Canis lupus familiaris: one gene and its partners. The protein of the gene in region 2 binds, or shares a complex with, the protein of the main gene of each other region. Links are inferred from orthologs where the notes say so. Each region holds a gene or a part of one and is shown on either strand. Other genes may lie near its edges.

Region 1 (3,929 bases), on a different chromosome or scaffold from region 2:
TGAGCCAGCCAGGTGCCCCAGCAAGCAAGCTATGATGAAAAGTGATCCAGTTCTTGTGACAAACAGGTTTGAGGGGGCCTGAGTGGAAGTGGCGAGTCCATGAGGGGATAGTATCTGCATAAACAAGGAGAGTGGTTTTGACCAAGGACATGGTGAGATGAGGGGATGGGGGCAGAATTGGACATAGAAGTCAATGTCTGAGACACTGGGCTGCTAGATAAGAAGAGTGATATTGAACATTATTTTATTACGTATGATAAGTAGTAACTTCATTGCTACTAAGGATAGGAAAAGAGGCCATGCCATGCTCTGAGTAAGGAAGAAGGGAATGGTGTTTGGGTTCTGCTCTGTAGTGTTTAATATATTTTCTTGTTAAATCTGTGCAACAAAGCTGAAAGGTGAGTCCTATTTTCTATTTATGAGGAGAGAGCTCTCAGCAAGGTAAAATTACCTGCCTAAGCTCACAGCTGGGAAGAGGGTAAACCTCCACCAGCCTCCTCTCTTAAAAAAAAAAAAAAAAGGCAAAACATCTTCTTCCTCCTCAATATGCTGGAGAGTTGGGATAGAAGTTTTTGGCAAGAAGCGATGAGAAGGAGAGACCTCCTGCCCTGGAAGATCGCAAGGGAGGCTAGGACCGTGCCACTGAGGAGCCCTGGGTGTCCTGCCAGGATCCAAACCATAGGGGTGACCCGAGACACACCTGACTCAAACCAGAAACTGACTCTCCTCTGCATCTCCCACCTCCCACTCCTGGGAAGTCCTTCCTTGACTCTGACCTCATCTGATCTGCTTCTGTCCCCACTGTCACAGCATGCAGGCTCACTGCTACCCGGCCCCGCTGCTCCTTCTCCCTGCACCCTCTTCCTGCAGCCTATGACCGGACGCCGTTTGCTCCCCAGCAGGCACCCCGGCGCGCTGTGTCTGGATCTCCTCCCTCTCCGGAACCTGAGCACAGGGTGCCCCTGCCCCATCCACTGACCTTTGCCTGTGTGAGCCCTGGTTAATTTTTTGCCCAGTCTGTGGGCTGTGGGGCTCCTCCTTCTCCCTCCCAGGGATATAAGTCTGGCCGAGGCTCGCTTGCTTCTCGCCGTCCTGAACCTCCCCCAGCTTCCCCGCCCCTGCCCTCACCATGGCCAAGGGCTTCTACATTTCCAAGGCTCTGGGCATCCTGGCCATCGTCCTGGGCATTGCGGCCGTGTCCACCATCATCGCTCTGTCTGTGGTGTATGCCCAGGAGAAAAACAAGAACGCTGAGAGCTCCCCAGTGAGCTCCCCGGTGAGCTCCCCGGTGAGCTCCCCGGTGAGCCCCACAAACCCCAGCACCACCGCGGCTACCACCTTGGCCCAAAGCAAACCTTGGAACCATTACCGCCTGCCCAAGACTCTGATTCCGAGCTCCTACAACGTGACGCTGAGGCCATACCTCACCCCTAACAGTAATGGCCTGTACACCTTCAAAGGCTCCAGCACAGTTCGCTTCACGTGCAAGGAGTCCACCAGCATGATCATCATCCACAGCAAGAAGCTGAACTACACCAACATCCAGGGGCAGCGGGTGGCCCTGCGGGGCGTGGGGGGTTCCCAGGCTCCTGCCATTGACAGGACCGAGCTGGTGGAGGTCACCGAGTACCTGGTGGTGCACCTGCGGGAGCCACTGCAGGTCAACAGCCAATATGAGATGGACAGTAAGTTTGAGGGGGAGCTGGCCGACGACCTGGCGGGCTTCTACCGCAGCGAGTATACAGAGAATGGTGTCAAAAAGTGAGTTGTGGCTGGGTCTGCACCTGGGGGTAGGGAGGTGGGGGGTGGGCAGGTCCTAGATGCTGAGGCAGAGCTGGATCCTGGGGGCCGAGGGAGGGAGGGCTTGGACTGGCAGGCCTTTGAACTTCCTGGAGGCTTTTGCTGGTTCATGACTGCGTCCACAGGTACTGGTGGAGCGGCTACCTAGAAAGCAGCCCTCTCCTGGGGGCCCCCATTCCCCGCAATAGGGAGTCAGGGGAAAGTGGTAAAAGAGCCTCTGAACAGATAGGAAAACTGGGGCTCACAGGAGAAAAACTTGCCCAAGGTCTCCCGGCTAATACAGGGAGACCTGTATTACCCTGCCAGGACTTTGACTCTGATCTCTCAAAGGAGCGGCCTGTCAGGATCCAGAAGTTGGAAGTTGGGAGGGCAGGGATGAGGCCAGACCGGACTTTCATGCACCCCTTCTCCCACATGCCCAGCAACACACCCTAAATCCCCCACCCCACCTTGCTCACCCTCACGGGTGCAGGCGTTCCACCGGCACCCGCTCTAATATCCTGGTTTGGACAGGGTGCTGGCCACAACACAGATGCAGGCTGCAGATGCCCGGAAATCCTTCCCGTGCTTTGACGAGCCAGCCATGAAGGCCACGTTCAACATCACCCTCATCCACCCCAGCAACCTTGTGGCCCTGTCTAACATGCTGCCCAGAGGTGAGTGGGTCTGTCCCGGAGCCACACACCCTTAGGAAGGAGGCACCTCCAGGGCTAGGAGGCAGGGCAAGGGAGAGGAGGCATCTCTATGTGCTCAAATGCTCCATGCCTAGGTCCCAGTGTCCCTTTTACCGAAGAACCCAACTGGAATGTCACTGAGTTTGAAACCACGCCTATCATGTCTACTTACCTGCTGGCCTACATCGTTAGCGAGTTTAAGAATGTGCAGGAGAACACGCCCAGTAATGTCCTGGTAAGAAGCTGGGCCCACCTGTCCTTCCCCTGGGATTGGTCCTGGCCGGAGAGATAGTCTTGTTTTAATTCATTTTCATCTAAGCCCCAGATTTGTTTGAATCCCAGCTCTGAGTGATCTTGGACAAGTGTCTTAAATGCTAACCCTCAGTCTTTGCATCTGAAAAATGGGTCTCTCCTCATGAGGGGTGTTCCTAACATGTGGGTGCCAGACATATGGTGGCCATGACTGCTATTATTCCCAAAGCCTCCTCCCTAAGACTCAAAGCCCCTCAGAGACCACCAGCCTTTTCCTCTGCTGCCCACAGCTCTCAGTTTAACTCAGTTGATGCCCTCACTAGCCTACTGGGCCCCTGGGGCTCAGCCCATCTGCACCAGAACCCAGGAGGGACCTCTGACCTACCTTCCTTGTCTTTGCAGATCCGGATCTGGGCTCGGCCAAGTGCGATGGACCAAGGCCATGGAAATTATGCCCTGAGGGTGACAGGCCCCATCCTAGACTTCTTTTCCAGACATTATGACACACCCTACCCCCTCAATAAATCTGGTGAGTGAGGGGCCTTGGGGTGGGGGCAGAGGATGGGGCTTCCTCCCCAGAGGCCATCCTGCCAATGGCCTTGCCCTCCCAGACCAGATTGCCTTACCTGACTTCAATGCTGGTGCCATGGAGAACTGGGGGCTGGTGACCTACCGGGAGAGTGCGCTGTTGTATGACCCGCAGTCTTCCTCCATCGGCAACAAGGAGCGCGTGGTCACTGTGATTGCTCATGAGCTGGCCCACCAGGTAGCACCCCCCCATCCCAGAGAGTGCTGGGAAGTGAGCAGGGGGGCTCTGGGAGGAGAGGGCACAAGTCCTCACTCTGTCCTGGGTATCTGGACCCCACCCTGGACTAACAGCAGAGGGGAGTCCTGCCCAGCACCTGGCACATGGGGGACGCTCACTGAAGGGGAGTTCTGGGTCACAGAGCCAGAGTGGCTAACTGGGTTGACCTTCCCTCCCCAACAGTGGTTTGGGAATCTGGTGACCTTGGAATGGTGGAATGACCTGTGGCTGAATGAGGGCTTTGCCTCCTACGTGGAGTACCTGGGCGCTGACTATGCAGAGCCTACCTGGAATCTGGTGAGCCAGCTGCCTAGTGGAGGGGGAAGGGGGGGCCCCTGTGTGCAGGGTCGGTGGTCACCCCCCACCAGGTTGGTCCCTCCTCATGGCCACTGGGGATT
Region 2 (3,088 bases):
AAATTTCTGAGAGGCAGACTGGGGGAGGCAGCACTCACCTGGTACTGCTACCCTATAAAACAAAATGGTATGTGTCACCGCCACCTTCTTTATCTTGGTCCTGTCTCTCTCTCCAGGTGCTAGCGTCCCCCTTGGGGAACCAAATTGGGCTGAGCACCCAAGTGGCCTGCTTCCCAGCCTTTGACAGAAGGCAGGCTGAGTCAGGCAGGAGAGCTGGGCCCCCACCCTGTGTGAGCCCCACTGATACATGATGGCAGGCGGCTTGGAGGGGGTAGGTGACCTGGCGTGGAGAGCCAGAGGGTAGGTCCTCAAACAAGTGGTAACAGGCCACCAACTTGAAAGGGAAAATTGTGCTGTGATGGGGAAGGTGTCCAACAAACCTACTGGATGACTAATTACAAAGGCTGGGCTGGAGCGTCAGGGGCCGCTCATTAAATACCTCATTAAGTGGCACCCTGAACGATGCCACCTGTGCATTCTGGGACCTCAGAGGGAACCCTGAGGGGGGGTGATGACCAAGGGAGAGAACCATTTCAGGTAGACTCCGGAAGAAGCCTGGATTTCACTTCTAAATACAGTCTGGAGCTTACAAGTCAGAGGCCTTGACGAGAGAAGCCAAAGGAAGTAGGATACAGGGGATTTATTAGCTGTGTGACCTTGAGCAAATCTCATCCCTCTCTGAGCCTTAGCATTCCCACCTCTAAAGTGGGAGTAAAAGTCATAGTCTGGCCCATCTCACAGAGACATAGTAAGGATTCAATCCAATCGTGGCTGTGAAGGTGCTTGGGAAACTACAGCCCTACCTAAACATAATTATCTCACCCAAACCAAGGTGGAAAATGTACCTGGTAGGATTAAGAACCCCATCCTCCTGGGTGCACCTGTCTTCATGCGCTCTAGCCAGGCTGAAGCGGCCACTTGGTTGAAGCCATCCCTGGCCCCTGGAAGAACACCATGAAGGAGGATCTGATTTGAGAAACTGGGGCATCTGGGTGGGCACTCATGGAATCAAAGCACCGAACAAGAGGGGGCAGCCTGGAGCTTGGAAAGGTGTCCTGTGCAGGTGGGGCCGACGCCCGGCGGAGTTCTCCCGCAGACTGAGCCCCGATGACTCACCCTACATCCCAGCCTTTTACCTTTAAGGAAGAGCCGGAAAGGGTGTGGGGAGAAGACCAGAGGGAGGCAGGTCCCGGGCCCCAGCCCCGCCCTCGGTCCCTCCCCACCCCTCTCTGGGGCCAGACCTTCCAGCCAAAAGGCAGGCAGAGAGCAGGAGAGGCACAGAATCCGGCATCGGTTTCAAGGCAGCCAGTTAGCCCGCCGCCTGTCTGTCACCAGAGCCATGGAGAGAGCCAGTCTGATCCAGAAGGCCAAGTTGGCAGAACAGGCTGAGCGCTACGAGGACATGGCAGCCTTCATGAAGAGCGCCGTGGAAAAGGGTGAGGAGCTGTCCTGCGAAGAGCGAAACCTGCTCTCGGTGGCCTACAAGAACGTGGTGGGGGGCCAGAGGGCTGCCTGGAGGGTCCTGTCCAGTATCGAGCAGAAAGGCAATGAGGAGAGCTCGGAAGAGAAGGGCCCGGAGGTGCGAGAGTACCGGGAGAAGGTGGAGACCGAGCTCCGGGGCGTGTGTGACACGGTGCTGGGCCTGCTGGACAGCCACCTCATCAAGGAGGCCGGGGATGCCGAAAGTCGAGTCTTCTACCTGAAGATGAAGGGCGACTACTACCGCTACCTGGCCGAGGTGGCCACTGGTGACGACAAGAAGCGCATCATTGACTCAGCCCGGTCCGCCTACCAGGAGGCCATGGACATCAGCAAGAAGGAGATGCCACCCACCAACCCCATCCGCCTGGGCCTGGCCCTGAACTTTTCTGTCTTCCACTACGAGATCGCCAACAGCCCCGAGGAGGCCATCTCACTGGCCAAGACCACCTTCGACGAGGCCATGGCTGACCTGCACACCCTCAGCGAGGACTCCTACAAAGACAGCACCCTCATCATGCAGCTGCTGAGAGACAACCTGACGCTGTGGACCGCCGACAACGCCGGGGAAGAGGGGGGCGAGGCTCCCGAGGAACCCCAGAGCTGAGCCGCCCACCGCGCCCTCCCCGCCGCGCCCTGCCCTCTCCAGCACCCCGCCCGCCCGTGGCAGAGAGGACTAGTGTGGGGTGCGAGGCCCGACCCTCCTACCCCAATGCTCTGCCTCCTGCTCACGAGAGCTCCGAGGAGAGGAAGCAGCAGAGCTGAGGCCGGCTAGGGCCGGGGGACTCGCTCTTCCTGCCGCTGTCGGGGCCCGCCCACCCCTGCTCTCCGCACCCCTCCCCGAAACCCCACCGCCAACCGGGCCACTTCCTCCCCCTCCTGCCTCCCTCCTGCCCCCCGTTGCCTCTGAATCTTAGGAATTGAGGAGTGTCCCACCCTTGTGGCTGAGAGCTGGACTGTATGGCAGAGCCTGGAGATGAGTGTGTGTGTGTGAAAGAGCGAGAGCGAGTGAGAGCACGAGTGAGAGCGCGCAAGACCCGGATGAAAGGGAAAGCATGTCTGCTGGGTGTGACCCTGTTTCCTCTCAATAAAGCTCCCCTGTGACACTCCTCCTGTCTCTTCCAGTTATTGGCGAAGCGATGGGACAAGGACTGGCTTATGATTTAGAGACCTTGACTTCTGATTTAGGGCCTTGACCTCTCACGGGGCTGGCTCAGGGACCCACAGGCAAGACTCTGGAGCCAGTGACCCCAGGTGAGAGGCTGGGGGGCAGGAGGTCCAGCTCTCCATCAGGGTGGCCCCCAGCAAGCTGGTCTGGTCCCGGACGGTCGGGGGAGCGCAAAGGCGGCCCTAAGGCTGCTCTAGGGCTGCAGGGCGGGGGGCTGAAGAGTCCAGATCTGAGGGGACAGGAAAGCCTCTCAGGTGTGAGGTCCGAGCGACAAGGACAGGTTGTAGTGAGCCGCAGCGAGCACCCCGGCCTTGAAAGCGAGTTAGAGGCCCATCCAGTGCTCAGATCTGAGAGGAGGGGAGCACAATCTGGGTAGAGGCTTGCGCCGCCATTAAAAGCCCGTATCTGAGAGGGGATGCCCCCGCCCCCAGCGCTCCGACT
Region 3 (4,252 bases), on a different chromosome or scaffold from region 2:
AGCACTGACCACATTTTGTTTGTCATCCAGCCTTTGAAAAAACAATATGCCTTTTCTCTCCTAAAAACAAAGTCAATTTAGCCCTTTGGTCGCCTCCTATAAACGCTCCATTGGTGGTCCTCTGACTCAGGAGGCAGGACACAGGGGAGGCATGATCCAGCATTCCTGGGAGCCCAGCCATGCCCCCTCCCGCCCCACACGGGGCTCCTTCCCAAATCTGCCAGGAAGCGGGGGCTCCCTTCAGAGCCCGGCTGGCTCTCTGGGTGGTGCGAGGCCCAGCAGGGGACGCCAGGGCCCCTGGGCCCACCGAGGTCCTGGGAAACAAAAAGACTGGCCGCTTTCGCGTGCAAGGCCAAGGAGTATGCAGCTGGGGGAGGGAGGTCCTGCGCTTTGTCTAGCTCTGCACCCCCCACCCCCAAGGGGACAGGAGACTCAGGGAGGCAGCGATTTGCACACAGAAATCCCCAGTAACCAGTACTAAGAGCTAAACACAGTCGTTGCCTTTTTTTTTTTCATAAACAGTGGATCAGAATCACAGACCCCACTCCTGAATGATTCTTATCCTGCATTGGGCCCCTACAGGCTGGGGGGTGGAGTAGGCCGCGGGGGAGCCCGGCGGCGGAGGGGCCCCGGCGGGAGGAGCCGCAGGAGCAAGGGCGCCTGGCACCTGGGCGCGTGGGCGCTGTGGGCGCCTGGCGCTGTGGGTCACAGCCTCCCGGCCACGTGCACAGCCGCGCGCGGGGCTCCCTGCGGCCCGACCGAGCCGACTCCCCGCGACCCTCGGGGGCTGCGGGCGGCTGCTGGGCCACAGGCGCGTCCCCGGCCTCGGGGCCCCTCTCCCGCCGCAGCCCCGCAGCCGCTCCCCACCCGCTGCGCCCGCCTCCCGCGGCTCCTCCCCCTGCAGAGGCTACACCTCCGGGAAGCGGGATTCCCCCGCCCCCCCCCCCGCCCCAGCTTCCCCGCGCCGCAGGGGGGCCGGGCACCAGCCCTGGGGCCGCCGGGGCCTCCCGCCCGCACCCCCGCGGCCGCCCCGCGCCCGGGACCCGGTGACCCGGCCTTGAACCCCGGACCCCTCAAGATAATTCACCGCGACGCCGAGGATTCAGCGGGACAGGAAGGTCAAGGCCGGCGGAGGGTGATGCAGGGGGGCCGGGAGGGGGGCGGGGGGGCCGGGATCTGCGCGTCCGCACCCACGCGGCGCGGCCGGCCGGCTGCCGGACTCCCGGCCCCGCGCCCCTCCGACCCGCGCCCCTGCGTCCCCTCCACCCAGTGCCCCTGCGCCCCCCGGCGCCCCTGCGCCCCCTCCACCCCGCGCTCCTCCGCCCTCCACCTAGCGCCCCTCCACCCCGTGCCCCTGCGCCCCCCGGCGCCCCTGCGCCCCCCTGCCCCTGCGCCCCCCCGCACGTCCCGGCCGCTCGCGCCCCCGCTGCTGACCCCGCACGCGCTCCCCACACGCGGGGCTGCGTGGCTCCGGGCACTTTGTCCCCCTCCCGGCGCCCCGCGGCCCCCGCAGCCGTCAGCAGGTCGGCTCCCGGAGGGGCGCACGCAGCCCCCCGACCTCGGGCCACCTGGCTGTCCCCTTCGGCCCCACTCCCTCCCCCCGCCCCGCCCCGCCCCGCCCGGCGGGGACCGCGGGCACCCGAGGCGGAGGCGAAGTCACCCGAAGTCACCCGGGGCCGCGGGGAGCCACGCGCTGGGGCCCGGGACCCGCCCCGAGCGCCACGCGGCCCGACGGTCTCTTACCCGACGTGTCCCACAGGCTCAGCTCTATCCTTTGTGTGTCGATCTCAAAACTGGCCGTGTAATTCTCAAACACCGTGGGGACGTAATTCTGGACAGACAGCGGACAGAGGAGGGAGAGAGGGCGCAGAGGTTACCGGAGGTGCGCGACACCCGCAGAGCGCCCTCGAAACCCGCCTCCTCGCTCCCCGATTGGAAAAAGACAAGAAAAGAGGGGGAAAGCCGCACACGCGAGACGGCCGGAGCGACCCCGAAGGCCCCGAGTGCCCTCCGCGCTATGGGGACGCGGCCGCCGAGCCTCCTCCGCGCTATGGGGACCCGGCCGCCGAGCCTCCTCCGCGCTATGGGGACGCGGCCGCCGAGCCTCCTCCGCGCTATGGGGACGCGGCCGCCGAGCCTCCTCCGCGCTATGGGGACGCGGCCGCCGAGCCTCCCCGTTATGGGGAAGCGGCCGCCGAGCCTCCGCGCTCTGGGGACGCGGCCGCCGAGCCTCCGCGCTATGGGGACGCGGCCGCCGAGCCTCCGCGCTATGGGGACGCGGCCGCCGAGCCTCCCCACCCGCCCGCGCGCACCGGAGCCGGCAGGTGTCGGCCGCCGGAGCGGAAGGTGCAGACGCGTCCCCGGGGGCTCGCGGGTCACCGCCCGGCCGGGGGCGCGGGGGGCTCGGGGGGCGCGGCGGGGGGCAGGCGGGGCCCGGCGCGCTCACCTCGGGGAAGCAGTCCTTGGCGAAGACGTGCAGCAGCGCCGTTTTCCCGCACTGACTGTCCCCCACCACCACGATCTTGCACTTCACGTTCTGATTAGGATCCATGATCGATTTACTGGACAATTTCTGGCTGGCCCTTCTCTCCTTCATTGATCTTGCCTTCTTTTCTCTTGGAACAGGAATTTTCTCTTTTGGAGGAAAAAAAAAAAAAAGAGAGAGAGAGAGAGGAGAGAGTTCCGTCTCTCTGGAAGCCGGTCTGGAAACAGGAGGCGGGCGGGGCGGCGGGGCGGCGGGGCTTGGGGGCGCAGGCGACCCTCCCCTCCGCGAGTCTCAGGCCGGCTCGGCGCGCCGCCCGCGTCCACCTCAGCCCGACTGCTTTGTCTCCCGCGCCCGGCGCCGCTTTATAGGCCGGGCCTTCCAATCCTCTTTCTCAATGAGCCGGGAAGCGACCCGCCTCCTGCCTCCGCGGGGCCGCGAGCGGGGCGGTCCCCTCGCCGCGGAGAGCGCGCCCCGGGCGCCCTCTAGGGTGGCCGCGCGGGATGGCGGTGCGCACCGAGCGGGCCGCGGGACCCCGGAGGGGGGGGGTTGGGGGGCTTGGGGGGCGGGGGGGGGGGTCCGGGGGGCGGGGACTGGCTTTTATTAGGGTTCCCGAGCGGGCCGCTTGGCGGAGGCCGCAGGAACGTCGGTGAGAGCCAACGCGCTTCTCACCCAAGTTCAGGCAGCTCAGGCGCCGAGGAAGCAGCCAGTCTCGGGTTGGGAAGGGTTAAGCGCTTGCATTCTTTTTTTTTTTTTTTTTTTAAGGCATGGTTTCTATCACCTATGTAGGCCAGGGAACAATAGTTGAGCCAGGCTATTTCGGATGCGGGAACTGGCCTGTCTGGGTCACAGCGACACAGGGGCTTCCAAAACTGTCACTCAGGAGGAGGCAGGAGGGTTTTGAGGAGTGCCCAGCTGAGGTGGGAACAGGAAAGAAAAAAAGAAAAGAAAAAAGGAAGAGGAAAAGAAAAGCAGAAGATGCTTATAACTGAGTGTGAAAGTCTTGTGCAGTCAGCCCCACTGTCCCAGGAACCCAAAGGTGCAGGGCAGCGGCTGCCCGGTTCCAGGAAGGAGACTGGGTAGGCGGGTGTGCGGCCCTGCCCCGTGTCCTCCCTCCGTAGCCTTCCCTCCCCCAGGATCAAAGATGAGCCCAGATACCACAACTGTGCCCAGCTGGAGAACACAGGTACAGCTCCCTGCTCCCTCTCCTCCTCTCTTCCAGGCGGTCCCCTGACACACACACACACACACACACACACACACACCCAAAAAGGAGGAGCAAAATGGCCACGCATCTGTTGCCTCCCCTATCAGAGGTCCTTCTTTACCATCTGGATCTCCCGTGTTTCCAATGGAAAGGTTTCAACTATTAAACTGTAGTAAAGACATTGGCCAAAAGTCTCATAGGTACCCTTGTTGGAGACTTGTAGGCTTGTAAATGAGAAGGTGAGGCAAAAACCCAGAATGTTCGGTGTGCCTGGGTGGCTCAGGTAGTTCATGGACTGTCTGTGACCCTTCATGACCCTGGGGGCCTGTGACAGAACCTGGCATTTGGCTCCCTGCTGGGGGGGGGAGTCCCAAGGCTCCAAGGTTCCCTCTCCCCCTGCTCCTATCTGTGCTTCTGCTCTCTCTTACTCTCTCTTTCTCTCTCAAATGAATAAACAAAATCTTAAAAAAAAAAAAAAAAAAGGAAAAAAAGAAACCCCAGAATGTTCAGCATGGGGAATGAGAAGGCACTGAAACGGGGCTAAAAACACAGATGTAAGTATC
Region 4 (4,150 bases), on a different chromosome or scaffold from region 2:
TGATCATGATGCCTATTGGTGATTCTGAATGAAAACTACCCTGGAATTATATTCTTGCCCCTTTTCTGTGAGCTTGTTATTTCCAAATAAAAAGGTTTTTAAAAAGGAAGGTATCCCAGGCACACCAGGCTGCAGCCTTGGGCACTGCAGTGCTGGGGGCTATGCATGGCTTTTGATGACACCTCCTGTCACCCAGACTCTCAGCTTTAGGTGCTACTAGAGGAACTCAGTGTGTGACGGACGCCAAAACTATCTTGGGTTGACTCACAAAGGTAGGATGAGTCAAGGCAATGAATTTTCTTTTGTCATTTTATTTACTCCAATTTTTAAAAGGTTTTATTTATTTATTCATGACACACAGGAAGAAAGGGAGGCAGAGGGAGAGCTCAGGACCCCGGGATAGCAACCTGAGCCGAAGGCAGACAGTCAACTGATTGAGCCACCCAGGTGTCTCTATTTACTCCAATTTTGAAATCAAAATCTGGCGTTCCTGGGGCACCTGAGTGGCTCAGTTGGTTGAGCATCTGACTCTTGATTTAAGCTCAGGTCATGATCTCACAGTTGTGGAACCAAGCCCCTCATCAGGCTCTGCACTCAGCTGAGTCTGCTTGAGATTCTCTCTCCCTTGCCCTCTGCCCCTCCTACTGCTGGTGCTCTCTCACAGAACAAATAACATCTTTAAAAAAATAAAAATAAAATACTGGCATTTCTTGCATCCTAGGGCTCTCTGTGGTGGAGGGAGGGAAGGGGAACATATCCAAATGTAGTGTTTTCTGTGGGTAATCCGGACTGCAGATTTTAGTACAGACAATGTTCATTTATCATTGATGATGTGGTTACATGTTCCCCAACAAAGGCAGGCCAAGATTTCCCCCAGAATCAGCCTAGTATCTTCCCCATTCCCCAAAGGAAGAAAACTAAGTTCCCAGCAAGGGCTAAGGTAAGGGCCAGAAGTACCCTGGGCTCCCTCTGCCAAGGTTAGTGATTTCAATGTACAGAAAGTCGCAGATTGTCCGAGCAGCCTGGATACGGACCTGGAGCAGAAGATGTCTCAGCACCCCTCACCTCTGTTTCCAGGTCCTGACCATCCCAGGGCAAGAGGCAGCCACCCTGCTATTCTCATCTCTAGAAAGGGAAGCCCACACAACAGAAGGGCTGGGGCTGAACCCAGAGCCCCCTCACTCCAAGCCCTGTGCTCCCCTCCTCTCACCTGCCCTACCACCACACAGTCCCATTCCTCCGGTCCCCAGGGGTTGTTGGGGACAGAAGGCCCCTCCCTCATCCCCCTCAATGTTCCTCCACTCCTCCCCCTCCCATCACTAGGGTGTCCAGGACATTGTGTGACTCAGGAAACAGCTCAGACGTGAGGCTTGCTTCAGGCAGAGGAGGAGGAAGGGGCTGTGGGAGCAGGGGAGGTAGCTCCTGCCCCAGTGAGGGCTCTGAGAGTCCTTTCCTGAGGAGGTGGGAGGGGATCTGGGTTTGGGGCAGGGGCTCTGGAATGCAGCCCCCTTCTCTGCTGCTGCTGTTGCTGTGTCACTCGGTTGTCAAGACCAGAGGTGAGGCAATGGGGTGGGAGAGTGAGGGGACCCACCTTCCTTAAGAGGGTTGGGGGCAGAGGGCCAAGCCTGGTGCTTTGAGGGGACACTGGATGGAGGAGAGTTTCACCCCCTTGCCCAATGCAGGGAGAGCAGACTCTGCCACCGGAGCTGCACAAACAGGCTTTGGGGCCTGAGCCAGGGGCGGTAACTGTCAGAGGAATGGCTAGGAGGGTGCCCGCTCCCAGAGAGAACCCAGCTGGGACAGGGGGCTCTTGAGATGGCGTTTAGGAGGTGAAGAGGGAAAAAACTGACCACCTGCTAGGGGAGGCGATGACAAGAAAGCAAGAGATGGAGACATGGGAAGGTCAAGGGCTCTAGGACCAAGTCCCTTTCCCGGTCCAGCTGTCCCCACCCCCGATGGCTCAATGCTGGGCTCTTCCGGGAGGAAATCCCTTCAACGTCTCAGCCATTCACCTTCCTGGAGTCCCCAGGGCCCCCTCCTGAGCCCTGTTGTCAGGGCTTCCGGGATGGAGTCTGAGGCTGGGCTTGGGAGGCCTGGGCTTGGGAGGCCAGAGGATAAACAGGAAAGGGGGTGGGGATTAATAGCCAAGAGGATCTAGAGGCCTGGGCCTGGGATTGGGGGGGCGGGGGGGGGGGGGCCACTGGGGCAAGAGCACCACTTGGGGACCAGGAACAGAGGCAGTGGTCCGAGAGAGCACGCGTCCCGCTGCTACAGGCAGGTCCCTCCAGAGCACCCAGAGGGGGAAATGGGGAGCACAGTACTCCCCAGGCCCATCCCATCCTCATCTCCATCCCTAGTGCTGCCGTGTGGGGACTCCCCAGAACCCTGTGCCAATGGAGGCACCTGCCTGAGCCTATCTCAGGGACAAGGGACCTGCCAGTGAGTGTGCCTCCTGGGACTGGGAGACTGGAACGGGGAAGGAGAGCAGGGTGGAGGGGGGACTGGGAAGGAAGGAGAAAGAGAGGAAGTAAAGGCTCTGAGGGAGGTGGGAGAGAAGGCAAAGAGGGCCCAGTGAGTAAGCTGTCCTCTCTCCTCCCCTGCTCAGGTGTGCACCTGGCTTCCTGGGTGAGACTTGCCAGTTTCCCGACCCCTGCCAGGATGCCCAGCTCTGCCAGAATGGGGGCAGCTGCCAAGCCCTGCTTCCTGCCCTCCCAGGCTCCCCTGGCCTTCCCTCTCCCTTGGCCCCCAGCTTCTCCTGCACCTGCCCCTCTGGCTTCACCGGCCAGAGGTGCCAGACCCTGCTCAAGGACCCCTGTTCTTCCTTCTGTTCCAAAATGGGCCGCTGCCACATCCAGGCCTCAGGCCGCCCACAGTGCTCCTGCCTGCCTGGATGGACAGGTGAGCACTGAGGGGGAAGCGGGGTGGGGGGGGGACAGGAGCAGCTGGCTGGGAAAGATAGAGCTGGAGTCTGAGATACAGGGAGCCCTTCTGAGGACAGAGGCTGTGCGAATCAAGAAGCTGACTCTTGCTGACGATTTACCTGAGACTGACATTCACCAGCATGGCTGCACCGATGGTTAAATGTTGAAGTCTTTCCAAACTTGTCCGTAAATGTCTCCTGCCATAGCCCCTTTTGGTGCACCACCCTGGCCTGTTTCCCTGGCCCCTCCGTCCAGCAGCCAGAGGGTGTTAACATACCCAGCACAAGGTGGGGGAGGGGAACCTCCAGGATTCTGCATTATGGTCATCTGGATGGTCTCTATTCTGAGGAGTGGGAGCCCAGAGCAGCACCTGGATAGATGTGCTGGTGGGAAGTGTAATGAGGGTGGAAGGGCTCTGACCCAGAGAGAGGAATGGGTGTCAATCCTGGGAAGAAGGGTGCAGCCCTGGGGCAAGGATGTGGGGAGAGTGGGGGGGGTGGCAGGAGCAGGGTATGCTAGCCTGAGGAAGTAGGCAGGGGTGCAGAACAGCCAAGGGCCTCAGGAGAGGAAGGCTCCTCTGACCTACCAGGACGGAGGGGACTGGACAGGGCAGTGAAGGCCACATGGGTAGGGAAGTGCTCTGTGAGCAGTGGACTAGAAGGGAGCTCCTCAAACTTGCTGAGGCACAGCAATTACCTGGAAAGCCCTAAACATACTGATGTCCACATCCCAGAGAGGCTGATTTAGTGGGTCTGGGCTGTGCCCAGGCATGGAGACTTTTTAACTGTCCAGGTAATTCTGAGGACTTGGGGGTGAGAGACCAGGCTGTGTGACAAGAAGGATCACAGTGGCAACTTGCCCAGCCCTGTGCTTGGAGCAGGGGTTCTGGGAGCCCTTCCCCAGGTCTGGGTGCCAGCTCACCATGGATGAGACCTGTGCCCTTGCACTAACTCTCTACGTCCTTGGTTGTCAGCTGATGTCCACACTTCATAAGGTCATTGAGAGGAGGAAAGGGAGCGATGCTCAGGAGGCACTGACATAGCTCAGTGCCAGGGGCCACCACCGCCATTGCCACTGGTGCAAACGGCTGAGAGGTGCGGCTCCTTATCACTATCTGGAACCCTGTAGCCACCTAAAGATTAGGGAACCCAGACAAGAGAGGCCAGACAACCGTCTGAGGGTGCAGAGCCTTGTGGCACAGCAGTGCTAAGTCTCCTGCCTGCAGTGGC
Region 5 (4,266 bases), on a different chromosome or scaffold from region 2:
TAGAAAAATAAAACTCTCTTTTTGTACAAATATACAAGTCCGTGTTCTTTTAGATATGTTTTGAAGCTCATAACGTCAAGCGCTGGCCTCCAAGCACACAGTCATCATAGGGCAGCTAAAAACAAGAGAAAAAAAAGCCATGTTAAGCTTCCAGTTTTGTCAAAGGTACTGGGATAAGGGTGAGGGCCATTATCAAGTACTCTTGGATTCCATTCTCCATAACCCAAGTATAAATTAACCTCAGGGGCTAAGGAAGTTTTTCTTTAATGCTCCTCTCCTTTAAAAAGAGCAAAAAACAAAGACACACTTTTGGGAGACTCCTGGTCATGAACACTAAAGTGGGAGAACTTCATTGCATTGAGCTCTTTGGATAAAGAGGAGCTCTAGAGACCTGGGAGGGTACTGCTTTGTGCAGAGCGATGGAGTTGACACTCACCTCGTCCTCTGTGAACTCTGACTCTGTGTCATAGCTCTCCTCATCCTCACTCTCTGGCAGCATCTGAAGGTTTTCTAGGGTCAGCTGGCCCAGCTGCTGCTGTATCCGTGTGCTTGGGCGGCCCCACGTGAGCTGGTACGGGGAGTAGCCCTGGTAGGTAACTCTGTTGACATCAGCCCCACACTTCAACAAAAGCGACACAAGGTCAGAATTCTGCAGGTCCACTGCAAGATGGAGGGCGGTTCGGCCATTACAGGGCTCCTGAAACCAAAAGGAATTTGAGATGTTTATGGTTGAGTTTGGAATTTCTACTTGCAACAAGAACATGTGAGGTCTTATTGAGGAGGGCCTGGAGCCCTGATGCGTTCCATCTGGAGACATGAAGAACTCACCTGAGCATTGACATCAGCACCCAAAGACACCAGAAGCTCCACAATGCCCAAATAGCCATGGATAGAAGCTAAATGTAGACATGTGTGACCTAGAAGAACAATGAAGCAAATATAACCACTTGCTTCAACCCTCAGATCTCAAGCAGAACTTTCTGTCTATTCTTATAGGGAATAAATTCTGAATTTGGAGAACCCAGAATCTGGGCTCTGAATGAACTTTATCAAGGCATGAAACAGACCTTTTGCATGCATATTTTCTCAACCTTTCAAGTATTCAGAGTTTCAGCTCTTGCCTGGACTCCTAACATTGGCCTACCTCTCCCTTCTCCATGTCACCTGCCTTCTGATGGGCAGGGTAGGGCAGGCAGACATACCATTGTAGTTGGTGGCCTGGAGGATGGAGTAGAGGTGCTGGGTCCTGCAAGTCTGAGTCAGGACTCCCACGCTGGCCAGGCAGCCTTGCTCACAGGCAAGGTGTAGGGGGGTATTTCCTCGAAAGTCTCGGAGCTCAGGATCACAGCCAGCTTCCAGAAGTGCCTCAGCAATTTCTGGTTGGTTGGTGATCACAGCCAAGTGGAGTGGAGTCTACAAACACAAGAGGGAATAGAAAGAGGGTAAGCCATGGCCCAAACTCAAGAGTCTGTCTTCCCTTGAACTCCGGAGATCTACTGGTTGTGGGTGCTGCTCCTCCTCCCAGACAGGTATGAAGGGCAAGATAAATGCCAGAGGCCGCAGGTGGGCTTTCATCATAGGCCTCACCAAATCAATAGAATTTTCTTTATTCTCTAGGACGTTGGCCGATTCCAATGTAAAAAGGTCAAGGTACATAATGCCCAGTGATTATTAATTTAGAAAGGATTGGGAGCAACTGAGCTAGATCCAACTTCATCACTGGGTCAGAGGCACAGGGCTGGGCGAGCCGGCGCACCTGCTGCAGGTTGTTCTGGAAGTTGAGGAAGGCCAGGTCGCCCTTCACTTGGCGGACCACTTCCATGGTCAGGGCCTTCTCTTCATGGATGATGGCCAAGTGCAGGAACCTAAGGGGAAGAGAGGGAAAAACCCCCAGGGCTGGTGAGTGCATCGCGTGGGGCCCAGGGAGGCGCGGGCTGCGGGGGATTGCGCAAGGCCGGGGTTTCTGGAGGCCGAGGCCGCGGTGTTTTCCGCGAGGTTATTATGAGCTGAGTGTTCCTGGCAGGCGCCCAGGGACTTTCCGGGCCCCCTCCCTCCTCGGCGGGCGCCGGCCAGACCGCCCCGCCCTCCCGCCGGGCCGGAACGCCCTGTACTTCCCCTCCCGGCCCCCCGGCGCCCGCCCGCGGGGCAGGAGCTCCCGCCCCCCTTGTGCAAGCGGGGACTTCGCGTCCCCGCCGCCGCCCCGCCCCCGCCGGCAGGACCGGCTCCGGACCGGGGCTGGGGGGTGGGGGTGCGCGCTGCAGCGCAGGGCTGCTGCACCGCCAGCCCGGGATCCGACCCTCCTCTGCTGCCCGCAGCGCAGCCGGCAGCTTTGCGCGGTCCCGGGGCCAGGGGTGTACGGGGGATCGGTGCCCACACCCCGGTCGGCTGCCGCCCCTCGGCCTCGCGCTGCAGGCGCGGCGTCCCCGCCCGCCCCGAGACACCTACGAGTCTCCGTCCTCGGTGAGCTGCTGCTTCCAGGGCTCGGCGCCGCGCGGCGCCTCCTGCGGCTCGAGACGGATCTCCCGCAGCTCCTTCACCAGCTGCTCGTACTCCTCGTCCTTCATGGAGTCCAGGCCGCTGTCGTGGCGGTCGTCCAGCAGCCGCTCCTTCTTGAGCGCGTCCCGGGGACCCTCCATGGCCCAGTCCTGGGCGTGCTCGGCTTGCTGCAGCATGGCGCGGGAAGGCTCGGCGCTGCTGCCCAGGTGCGCTCGGCCGCGGGCTGCGCGCTCGCCGCCTCGCCTCGCCTCGCCTCGCAGGGTCACGGACGCAGGACCGCTGGCTGCGACTCTTGTGGGCTCGCCAGCGCCGCCGCGGCGCCCTATAAACGCTGGCAGGGGATTTCTCCGGGGCGGGGTCAGGCGCGGGGAATTTCCAAGCCAGTCAGACCAGAAAAGAGAACTGGCCCCGTCCTCTGCTCGGGAGGGGGAGGAAGGGGGAGAAGCCTAAACCCTGAGCCGGGTTCATCAGAGAAACTCCCGGCGATGAGCCACTGGGGTCATGTACAGGGAACTTTTTGATGAACGCTGAGCGGCTGGAAAGTCCTCCCGACCGAGGCCCCCTCCCCCGGTACTTCCCTGCAGCTTGCACTCGGTAATCCTGTCCCTCTGCAAGCGGCCTTCTTTCCCTGGGGTTTCCCACGATCGATTCGACTTGGGGTCGTCGGCTGCTGAGATCCCAATGAACGCAGACCCGCCAGGCAGTTCCTCCTTGGGGTTTGCCAACCTTTCCGTTTCTTGATCTTTTGAAAACTCGGGTGGAAATGATGGCTGGACGTAGGGATTTGCTTCCCCAAACTTCTGCGGGGAAGGACGCACTGGCGGGTTAGAAGGTCGCCGGCTGCCTCTGCCACCCTGCCAATGCCAGGCTCTTTGTGGCGCGGGGACACACGTAGCACTCCCTCGAGGCCCCCCCCCCCCCCCAACCAGGTAAAAGTTGTGCATGCTTTGGCATTAAAAGCCAAAAAGCTTTTGGCATTTTTTGGCATTGAAATGCTTGGAGAACCCTCAAATCATTTCCTCGGGATTAACATTCCTGTTGACTGGTGGAGAGGCAAGCACTCTGCCCTGTGTTCAGCGAAAACGCTGAACAGGACCATACTTTTTTTCAGGTAAAGCAAGGTGTTAATCTTTGTAGTAGAGGTTGTAGCTAGCTGCCCTGCACGAACAAAATAATTATTGAGGTCATGTTTCCTGATTTGCACTGTGCTGCTGCAGAGCCTACTTCTGGGTACCCAGCCGGTGTCTTTCCAGAAGCATTTGGAAGAGGCTGAAGAATAGGTTGAGAAGTGCCTTACCCAAGATTGGGCCTTAAGGATGGTTTAGATTGCAAAGCATCCTACAGAAGGCCACCCTCCCGCCAACCTAACATTACCCTCTTGCTGGCTCCCTGCTCTCCTGCCCTGGAGAGGGCAGCAGTTGGACCTCTCCAGGCGCTGTGTATAGCCCCTATGGGCTCCTCATCCTTTGGTTTCACCTGCAGAAATATAACTTACGTTCCCCACCCTACCCCCATTCTCCTAGCCAACCAGCCTCTAACAGAATTTTTCTATCTCTAGAATTGGTCCAGGCAAAATGAAGCAACTCAGGTCAGAGTTTTTCAGAACTAGCTCCAGGAGGCTTTATAATTTTGCAGAAATTTCTGGTGATTATATTGCAATCATCTTAACTTGACTGGCCATATACTAACCAACCCTTTGCTCATCTCTTCTCCCTCCACTCCTCCCGACTATCTGAATTTAGGGAACCGGGGTCGGGGGAGTGAGATAAA
Region 6 (3,500 bases), on a different chromosome or scaffold from region 2:
TTTGCAGAGAGAACCTGAGCTGAGTCTACCCACTGCAGTGAGAGCATGAGTGTTTCTTTCTGGAATGGTCTCTAGAACCCATTTTTCCTCCTGATGATATTTGGTGTAAAGTCTGAGACATTGGCTTTCTTTAAATGTCACTGTGTATTTGTCACATCCCGGGTACGCTGCAGTATATGTCTCTACAGAGAGCACACCCAGAGCCCCCACTAAGCCCCTACACCTTTGGTGTGGACCCTTGTTCTCTTAGTGCTGGCACTGGATAGCAGGAATTAAGAGATGATACATCCCTTGTTTGCACAGTTCCAAGTAATCTGAATTTTTTGCTCCCAAATAAGTTTTGATTTCTGAGTTGACACTTCTTTCTCTTGTAGCCCAGTAGTCACCCATGATGAGAAAAGTGGTCATTTTGGGGTACAGGAGGGAGGTGTCTGATCATTCTCATTGCTGGGGGTGGTAGGAGGGCTAGCATGAGTTTGACAGTCCCTGGTCACCTGGCCACTCTCTTTTTCTGTCAGCATTACAGGCGGAAGAAGACCCATATCTTTTTCCACTAGAACCTCAAGCATCTTTGGAAGCGGAGGTGACCATAAGAAGAAGCTTTTTCTGCAGGATATAGCAGAACTGATTCGAGCCAGAGCCTGCCAGAGGGTGCTGGTCATGGTGGGGGCTGGCATCAGCACGCCCAGCGGCATTCCGGACTTCAGGTGCCCAGCAGCTCCTCCCTTGGCACCCCGGTCTGCCTCATGGCCCTGCCTCTTCCTCAGGGCTCAGAGCCTCTTGCTCCTCTTCGCAGGTCTCCCGGGAGCGGCCTCTATAGCAACCTGCAGCAGTATGACCTCCCATACCCCGAGGCTGTTTTTGAGCTGGCTTTCTTCTCTCACAACCCCAAGCCCTTTTTCACTTTGGCCAAGGAGCTGTACCTTAAGAACTACAGGCCCAACATCATACACTACTTCCTCCGACTGCTCCACGACAAGGGGCTGCTTCTGCGGCTCTACACGCAGAATATTGATGGGCTCGAGAGAGGTGAGCTCTCCGCCTGTCGCCACCTCCTCTCTGCACAGAAGGCTTGGGTGCCTGTCCTCTGGTTGATTTCAAGCCAACTAGTGATGCCATTGTCCCTGACAAAAAGTGCACCATGTGTCTAAGAGTCACTGTTGGGATCTCATTGGTGGACCTGATGTTCTGGCATAGTTGCTGGGCTGTGAGTTTTGGACAGAACTAAAATTGACATCAGGAGCTTCTAGTTTTGCTAGAAGCTGGTAGGGTGATTTTGTTTAAAGAAATTTATTACATTTTTTGAGCACATAAAAATAAAGAGAGGAATGTAATGAACCCCCATGCCTTCATCATAGCCAGTCCTTGCTTTATCTGTGTCTTCCTACCCCCACCTTTTCTCTCACCCCTGGTTATCTTGAAGCAAATCCCTGACATCATAAACTTAATCTATAAATAGTCTATAAGTACTTCACTGGTTATCTCTAGAAGATAAAGACTTTTATATATTTATTTTTAAAGATTTTTTAAAATTTATTTATTCATGAGAGACACACATATACAGAGAGTGGCAGAGGAAGAAGCAGGCTTCATGCAGGGAGCCTGACATGGGACTCGATCCTGGGTCTCCAGGATCCCACCCTGGGATGAAGGTGGTGCTAAACCGCTCAGCCACCCGGGCTGCCCCAAGACTTTTAAAATATAATTAGGATGCCATTGTCCACAGAGAGACCACTATTAATGCCTTAGTATTATCAAACAGGATGTGTAATGGTTTCTGACTGTGTCGATAACAGCCACAACCAGTAGTTCACAGACGCTGCATCTTAGGCACTCACCAAGCCTTTCTCTTATGGGCATCGACGCTGCTGATGGGTGCTGTTAGAGCTGACTTAGCATCTTGTGATTTGAAAAAAGGAGTCATTCCTGGACTCCAGGAAAATGATTCCTTGCTAGAAGGGTTCTGCAGCTTGGAATTACATAGGCAGCAGTGGATACCCCACGGGGATGATCTTTTCTGGAGATGGAGTAGGACAGGCCTTGTGGGAAGGTGGGAGCATCTGGCTGTGGCTTTAGCATATGGAGGTTTTGACAATAACGGGAACAGTGGAAGCCACTTGTGGCTGGGGCTGCTTGCCCACCCACAGCTCAGTGGCTGGCAGTGGGAACAGGGAACTGTCATAAGTTACCTCTGTTTTTCTGCAGTTTTTTGGAAGCTACTGTCTTTATATAGTTTTCTTGAGGGAGAGTATGAGAGCACGCGTGCATGTACCCATCGGGGGAGGAGCAGAGGGAGAGGGAGAGGGAGAACCCCAAGCTGACTCCCCGTGGAGCACGGAGTGTGAAGCCTGCCTGGGGCTCAACGCCACGGCCCTGAGATCATGACCTGAGCCAAAATCAAGAGTCAGATGCTCAACTGACTGGGCCACGCAGGTGCCCCTGTATAGTTTTTTCACTTTTGCTTGGTCTCTATGGAATAGGTAATTTTTCCCTAGGTATCAAATGTAATTTTATCTGAGTTTATAGCAAACTTGTTGACAGGCTTTGTTTTACCGTAATTTGGCTCCGTCTGGAAGCCCTCATCCCTGATGCTCATTCTGGTCAGTGGGACATCATCTGTAGGTGGGGGAGGCACGGACAGCCAGGCTTGCACTGAAGGCTGTGACTCCCTCTGGGGTCTGCCAAGTTCAGAGTTTACGCGCTGGGGCTTGTGCGCCCACCCTGGGGCCAGCAGCACTTAGCTTTGGTTTGAATTTCAGTAGCTGGGATCCCTGCCTCAAAGCTGGTTGAAGCTCATGGATCCTTCGCCTCCGCCACATGCACTGTCTGCCGAAGACCCTCCTCAGGGAAGGACATTTGGGTGAGTTGTCACGCTGATGGTTCTCTCCCTTCTGCACTTTGCAGTGGGAGTGATCTGGAATAGTGACATTTTATGAGCATTGTATTGGAAGACACCAGAACTGTAAAGCTGTGGAGTGCTTTTCTTTATTTTCAAATTGGAAAAGTAATACACACTTGTAAAAAATTAAGAAATATGTAGGGAAAAACATATCTCCCTTCAACCTATAGGGAGTTTCTATAGCCCACTCTTAACAGTTTAGTGTATAATGTTCTAAACCTTAAAAAAAAAAAAAGGCATACCTAAACGTACATGGCTGTGTCTGTATCCTTACACTACACAGTGACAATTTTTTTAATTAATAGGATTATTGAAATTTTTAAAAATTTATTTGTGAGAACATGAGCAAGAGGGGCAGAGGGAGAGGGAGAGAGAATCTCAAGCCAACTTCCCACTGAACACAGAATCCGATGTGGGGCCTGATCTCACGACCCTGAGATCATGACCTGAGCTGAAACCAAGAGTTGGCGGCACTTAAGCAACTGAGCCACCCAGGCTCCCCAGTAATAGGATTATTAGGGTTAATGTTCTACAACCTGCTTTGTTATAGAACAAAACTTCATGGATGTCTGTGTCAATAACTACAGCTTTGCTTACTATT
Region 7 (4,288 bases), on a different chromosome or scaffold from region 2:
ATTTTCCTGGACACATTCAAGACTGTTCACCATGGGACATATACAAGGAGGAAGACATACATGTGTGGAGTGCTCTGTGGTTTGCAGTTTTCACACACATTTCATTTTATTTTCATATGCCAATGTTGTTAATAGGGTATGTCCTACAGCTTTTATTTACAGATAGAAAGATTAAGGCTCGGGAAAGTCAAGCGACTCAAAAAAGTTGCACAACTGGCTGTTAAGTGCTACAGTCCAAAGTGAGTTCCTCCCTTCCAAGTTCCGTGTCATTCTGCTACCCCTACAGTGTTCCTTTGGGCTTTTGTTTCCCAGATGTAAAAATGGTAGATTTTCAGTGTCCCAGGATGCTGTTCTTAACTGTCTGTGCTCTCAGGCAGGATCAGTTTTTCGCAGCCGGGAAACGTGAACACCACAGTGATACTTGACGTACTTCTTGCCCCTCCGGGCCTCATGAATTAAGGGGAAAGAAAAGCTACCTATTTGGGAATAGCGGGCCAGACCTTGCCACAAAGGTGTACGGGAGCCAGCCGACGACACACTGTCGCACTCTCTCGGGAGACCGAGAAACCTAGCGTCTCTTCTTTCTCTGCTCAGCAGTAGCCGGGGGGGTGGGGGGGAGATGGAGAGCGAGACAATAGTCTCTTGTTCAGTTTTATTAATTTTGAGAGAGGGTGGGACAAAAAGATCGGACCGACGACGCAAGTGACCAATCCCGACCGAATCCTGGACGGGGATTCGCCAATCCGGAGCAGCGAAAGAACGCCGGGTGAGACTTAACTCTTCACCGCCCGCCCCTCCCAGGCCGGCCCTCCCAGACCGCCCCGGAGGCGGAGACTCCGCGGAGCCCCGCCCACACCGTCCCCGCTGCCAACGCGGCCCGCCAAAGGGAAGGGGGGCGGGCATGCGGGGGTGGGGTGGGAACGGGGAGGCTACCGGCAGCAGAGGAAGAAAGAAGGGTGTCGCGCAAAGCTGCGACCTGGGTGGGGGCCTGCTGGTCATAGGAAGCAAGAAGGGAAGGAAAACAGAGGAGCGCTGCTCCTTCCTGCATTATTTTGAGCAAGCTTTGCGAGAAGCTGCTTTTCAGCATTTCTATTTGTGTTTCTTCCTCCCGCTGTGGGGCGGGGGGCTGCACGGGCTCTCCCACGCACCTCCCCTCCGCTGGTGTCGTAGATTATTGTTGGAGTCTTTGCAGAACCCTTTCTTTCCCCCCAGCCAGCGCTTCCGTAGCCTCTCAGGACCCAGTCAGCGCGTTGAGCCACGTTAGCGGGTGGACGAGAACTAGGACCCTTCGCATTCGCTGGAGTGGCTCGACCCCGCCGTTCAATTGTTTGAAACTTCCCCGCCCCCTGGCCCCGCCTCTCTTCCGCCCCCCGCCCCTCCAGGGTCCTGGACGGCTCCCTTCCTTCATTCCCCGCCCTCTACTCCGCCCCACTCTCCAGTCCACCCCCTCCCACTCCTCCCCCCCGCTCCTGGGCGGTCCTAGCCGCGCACCGCAAGAAGAAAAGCCACCCATTCGTCCTCCTCCCCTACCTCCCATCCTTTGCCCAGGAGCTGCCTTCATCGCAGTCACGCCCCTTCCTTCCGAGGAGCTTTCTGGCTGCCCAAGCTGGTAGACCCCCTGATTTATTATTCCTCCATCTCCTCTCTGTTCTGCCTTATCCTCTCTTAGTTCTCACCGCCCCCTCCAGCCCCCACCTCCAGCCTGTCTTGCGTCCGACCATCTGCTGCTCCACCCTCTGGCCCGGTATCCTGCCTGTCCACTGCCACCAAGGAGAGCCCGGACGGAGCAGTGAGGAGCGGAGCAGCCGGAGTTGGGGCTTCCCCCTGCCCATCCCTGGCCTCCGGCCCGGGACCGAAGCCACTTGAGCGAGCAGAGAGTCGTCACCTTGTCTTCGGTGCCTTCAGGGGTAGGAGAAGCATGGTTACTTTACGCGGGGAACTGGGGCAGGAATCCATGGTGGCATGAACTTGATCGTGCCCTCGGCGTGAGTGAGTTGATCTAGATGTGTGTGGTGATGCCCGTGTGTTCTACTTTCTTTGCAGCTGGCCGTTGAGTTTTCCAGGATGAGCAGCAACTTAAATCGGTTAAAGAGTGTGCGCTCCTCTCCCGTCCTACGGAGATGCTAGTGGGTACCACTACTTGATGGTACTTTTACTTCCTTGCTCCTGGGACCCTTGTAGGTCCCTAGGTGATTAAGCACAAAAAGGAATGAGGGAACTTCAGGTCTACATTTACTAAGGAGGAATGTGTGCGCTTATCTCAGATTGCAAGATGCGTTCCTCCCTAAATGCTTAGAGTTGGGGTGGGGGCCCACACTGCCCTCCGCCGGGGGCTGTGAATTCTTGAAGTCCTAAAGTCTGGGAGTAATCTACCATGCTACACTCCTTTTAGTCTGTGTGTGTGTGTGTGTGTACGTGTATGGTGGTGAGGACTGGATTGCCCAGTATCTGCTTTAGAGATGTTAGTAAGGACTTCTGCAGGATCATGCAGGTGTCTTGAGGGTCCCAAGCCCAGGTCACTGTACATTGGTGCGTTAGCAGCAGGATGGATCGATCAATATATGAAAACAAAGAAAAATGAGAGGGAAAGTGACAGTCTTTGTAGTCTGGTAAATTGCCACTAATAGTAGTTTAATAATCATCTGCAGCAAGGGACTAGATACAATTAAATGAGAGAGGAAAGGGGGCGTTTGTGAGAAACAGCATTAGCAATCTCTAGCATGTGTTTTAGAAAGAATCGTAGTTATGTCTAATGTAGCTCTCCTTCCTCCTTCCGTTTGCCACCCTTACGTTAAGAGTAGAAGTTGGGAGGCGTTTAAAACTTTTTTTGGGATCCCTGGGTGGCGCAGTGGTTTAGCGCCTGCCTTTGGCCCAGGGCGCGATCCTGGAGACCCAGGATCGAGTCCCATGTTGGGCTCCCGGTGCATGGAGCCTGCTTCTCCCTCTGCCTGTGTCTCTGCCCCTCTTTCTCTCTCTGTGTGTGTGACTATCATAAATAAATAAAAAAATTAAAAAAAAACTTTTTTGAATATAACCTTTTTCCATTCAGAGAGGAAGATAATTAGTCACCATAGTCTCCAATAATGGAGGGCTAAGGTTATTTAAGTCTCCTTGAACTAGGTTTTGTGAAAAGTCCTTTCGTGGGCCAGCCTTTGTGAAGCTTTCTTGGTTAGACCTTTCAGCACCTTCATTTAGGAGCTAACAATACTTTGAAATAGCATTTTGGATGCAGGATAAATTTTCACCCATCTCCCCCCACCTCTCTCCAGTCAGGCAAGCGTGGCAAACTTAGAAGGGTGGTGGTATTTAGAGACCTGTTACCAAGATGTCACCAACCCATTGCTTGTTTGGGAACAAATCATTCACTTTATTTTTAAATAGTTGTGTTGGTTGATTTTAACGGGGGGGAAAGCAAAGCAGGAAGGGAGAGAAAGAATGTTACAGGGCGACAATTTTAAAGGCTATCGTCTTTCAGATCAGCTGGGAGGGAAAAGTTGGCCTGACCAAACTACATTTTATAACTGGCCTGGGACATTTTAATAGCCAGGTGGTTGTAGAGTAGTTGCGTCTATTTACAGATGATAACTCAGGTTCCAGTTATTCTGTATGGGTTTATCCGGTGTCATTTACAGACACTTTCTGGCACTACATCATACTTCATTTTAAGATCCTTCTTTCTTTGGAAAACTCTGTGGCTCTGTAAAATTGAAAGTGCTTTTCCTAACTTCATAGTCTAGATAGGCAGTAAATCTCTGACCATGCTTGTTGTAGAGTCACTTTTAGGGTGAAAGTGGTGGATCTGTTTACCTACGTAACAGATTCTAGAAGGAAATTTTAAAATTCGCGTTCAATGCTATTTTGGATTTGGAGATTGGAAGGTCATTTCTGGTTTGTGAGATAGGAATTATTAGACAGATGCAAACCCAAGGCACTTTGTGGAGTTGCTTTTTCTGAGGCTTTATAAAGAGTGAATTACACTGTTTCTAGAATGCCCTTAAGAACAGTCTATTCAGAGCGCAGAGGGATGGATGCTATGACCTTGAGGTCCCATTGAGTGCCAGAATTCTAAGTGGGTACATCTGCTTCTGTGCCTCTCCTAAGAGCTCTCTCCCAGGGCCTGTGCCTTCTTTAAAAGGGTGTCTTTGTAATTAAGCAGCCTGTCTCCCCCATCCCCCTTTCTTCCTTTGATCCAGCTTTTTAAGGCCTTTTTTCCATTTGGAGACAAGAGGAGTTTCTCACACTCTCCTAGTCCCCTCTTAAGGTTTCTTTTCCTTTTTTCCCCCAAAGA

What was found.
Region 1: the proteins of SFN (region 2) and ANPEP are in contact, whole or in part, in a crystal structure (PDB 7AEW), measured with the Homo sapiens proteins. The link is inferred for Canis lupus familiaris from reciprocal best matches to the Homo sapiens genes SFN and ANPEP. Residues at the interface, in NP_006133.1 of Homo sapiens: Asn42, Ser45, Val46, Lys49, Arg56, Lys122, Arg129, Tyr130, Gly171, Leu174, Asn175, Val178, Glu182, Leu222, Asn226, Leu229, Trp230; in NP_001141.2 of Homo sapiens: Ala60, Ser61, Ala62, Thr63, Thr64, Leu65, Asp66.
Region 3: the proteins of SFN (region 2) and RND3 are in contact, whole or in part, in a crystal structure (PDB 7OBC), measured with the Homo sapiens proteins. The link is inferred for Canis lupus familiaris from reciprocal best matches to the Homo sapiens genes SFN and RND3. Residues at the interface, in NP_006133.1 of Homo sapiens: Lys49, Arg56, Arg60, Lys122, Asp126, Arg129, Tyr130, Glu133, Gly171, Leu174, Asn175, Val178, Glu182, Ile219, Leu222, Asp225, Asn226, Leu229, Trp230; in NP_001241667.1 of Homo sapiens: Asp236, Lys237, Ala238, Lys239, Ser240, Cys241.
Region 4: the proteins of SFN (region 2) and NOTCH4 are in contact, whole or in part, in a crystal structure (PDB 7OR3), measured with the Homo sapiens proteins. The link is inferred for Canis lupus familiaris from reciprocal best matches to the Homo sapiens genes SFN and NOTCH4. Residues at the interface, in NP_006133.1 of Homo sapiens: Lys49, Arg56, Arg60, Lys122, Arg129, Tyr130, Glu133, Gly171, Leu174, Asn175, Val178, Glu182, Leu218, Gln221, Leu222, Asp225, Asn226, Leu229, Trp230; in NP_004548.3 of Homo sapiens: Arg1914, Arg1915, Phe1916, Ser1917, Ala1918, Gly1919, Arg1921.
Region 5: the proteins of SFN (region 2) and NFKBIA are in contact, whole or in part, in a crystal structure (PDB 6Y1J), measured with the Homo sapiens proteins. The link is inferred for Canis lupus familiaris from reciprocal best matches to the Homo sapiens genes SFN and NFKBIA. Residues at the interface, in NP_006133.1 of Homo sapiens: Glu14, Cys38, Asn42, Val46, Lys49, Asn50, Gly53, Gly54, Arg56, Lys122, Arg129, Tyr130, Pro167, Gly171, Leu172, Leu174, Asn175, Val178, Leu218, Leu222, Asn226; in NP_065390.1 of Homo sapiens: Gly62, Ser63, Glu64, Pro65, Trp66, Lys67, Gln68.
Region 6: the proteins of SFN (region 2) and SIRT3 are in contact, whole or in part, in a crystal structure (PDB 8ANC), measured with the Homo sapiens proteins. The link is inferred for Canis lupus familiaris from reciprocal best matches to the Homo sapiens genes SFN and SIRT3. Residues at the interface, in NP_006133.1 of Homo sapiens: Asn42, Ser45, Val46, Lys49, Arg56, Lys122, Asp126, Arg129, Tyr130, Pro167, Gly171, Leu174, Asn175, Val178, Tyr181, Glu182, Leu218, Ile219, Leu222, Asn226, Leu229, Trp230; in NP_036371.1 of Homo sapiens: Arg99, Arg100, Ser101, Ile102, Ser103, Phe104, Ser105, Val106, Gly107.
Region 7: the proteins of SFN (region 2) and AMOT are in contact, whole or in part, in a crystal structure (PDB 7NPB), measured with the Homo sapiens proteins. The link is inferred for Canis lupus familiaris from reciprocal best matches to the Homo sapiens genes SFN and AMOT. Residues at the interface, in NP_006133.1 of Homo sapiens: Val46, Lys49, Asn50, Arg56, Arg60, Lys122, Arg129, Tyr130, Gly171, Leu174, Asn175, Val178, Tyr181, Glu182, Asp215, Leu222, Asp225, Asn226, Leu229, Trp230; in NP_001106962.1 of Homo sapiens: Val171, Arg172, Ser173, Leu174, Ser175, Glu176, Arg177, Leu178, Met179.

The regions. Positions count from the first base shown.
Region 1 is NC_049224.1:53,265,553-53,269,481, reverse strand, and holds the start of ANPEP (aminopeptidase N), read left to right. Parts: upstream 1-1,129; coding exon 1,130-1,761; intron 1,762-2,313; coding exon 2,314-2,456; intron 2,457-2,569; coding exon 2,570-2,709; intron 2,710-3,128; coding exon 3,129-3,255; intron 3,256-3,337; coding exon 3,338-3,492; intron 3,493-3,714; coding exon 3,715-3,828; intron 3,829-3,929. UniProt on the Homo sapiens protein: Broad specificity aminopeptidase which plays a role in the final digestion of peptides generated from hydrolysis of proteins by gastric and pancreatic proteases.
Region 2 is NC_049223.1:72,665,232-72,668,319, reverse strand, and holds SFN (14-3-3 protein sigma), read left to right. Parts: upstream 1-1,239; 5' UTR 1,240-1,339; coding exon 1,340-2,086; 3' UTR 2,087-2,588; downstream 2,589-3,088. UniProt on the Homo sapiens protein: Adapter protein implicated in the regulation of a large spectrum of both general and specialized signaling pathways. Binds to a large number of partners, usually by recognition of a phosphoserine or phosphothreonine motif.
Region 3 is NC_049240.1:53,561,648-53,565,899, forward strand, and holds the start of RND3 (rho-related GTP-binding protein RhoE), read right to left. Parts: upstream 2,801-4,252; 5' UTR 2,597-2,800; coding exon 2,447-2,596; intron 1,832-2,446; coding exon 1,744-1,831; intron 1-1,743. UniProt on the Homo sapiens protein: Binds GTP but lacks intrinsic GTPase activity and is resistant to Rho-specific GTPase-activating proteins.
Region 4 is NC_049233.1:1,739,106-1,743,255, reverse strand, and holds the start of NOTCH4 (neurogenic locus notch homolog protein 4), read left to right. Parts: upstream 1-1,350; 5' UTR 1,351-1,498; coding exon 1,499-1,556; intron 1,557-2,357; coding exon 2,358-2,439; intron 2,440-2,605; coding exon 2,606-2,898; intron 2,899-4,150. UniProt on the Homo sapiens protein: Functions as a receptor for membrane-bound ligands Jagged1, Jagged2 and Delta1 to regulate cell-fate determination.
Region 5 is NC_049229.1:14,263,084-14,267,349, forward strand, and holds the start of NFKBIA (NF-kappa-B inhibitor alpha), read right to left. Parts: upstream 2,801-4,266; 5' UTR 2,673-2,800; coding exon 2,446-2,672; intron 1,866-2,445; coding exon 1,757-1,865; intron 1,414-1,756; coding exon 1,203-1,413; intron 918-1,202; coding exon 829-917; intron 698-828; coding exon 437-697; intron 116-436; coding exon 68-115; 3' UTR 1-67. UniProt on the Homo sapiens protein: Inhibits the activity of dimeric NF-kappa-B/REL complexes by trapping REL (RELA/p65 and NFKB1/p50) dimers in the cytoplasm by masking their nuclear localization signals.
Region 6 is NC_049239.1:25,731,965-25,735,464, reverse strand, and holds part of SIRT3 (NAD-dependent protein deacetylase sirtuin-3, mitochondrial), read left to right. Parts: exon of another isoform or gene 1-37; intron 38-518; coding exon 519-707; intron 708-796; coding exon 797-1,029; intron 1,030-2,759; coding exon 2,760-2,860; intron 2,861-3,500.
Region 7 is NC_049260.1:86,471,317-86,475,604, reverse strand, and holds the start of AMOT (angiomotin), read left to right. Parts: upstream 1-1,488; 5' UTR 1,489-1,907; intron 1,908-4,288.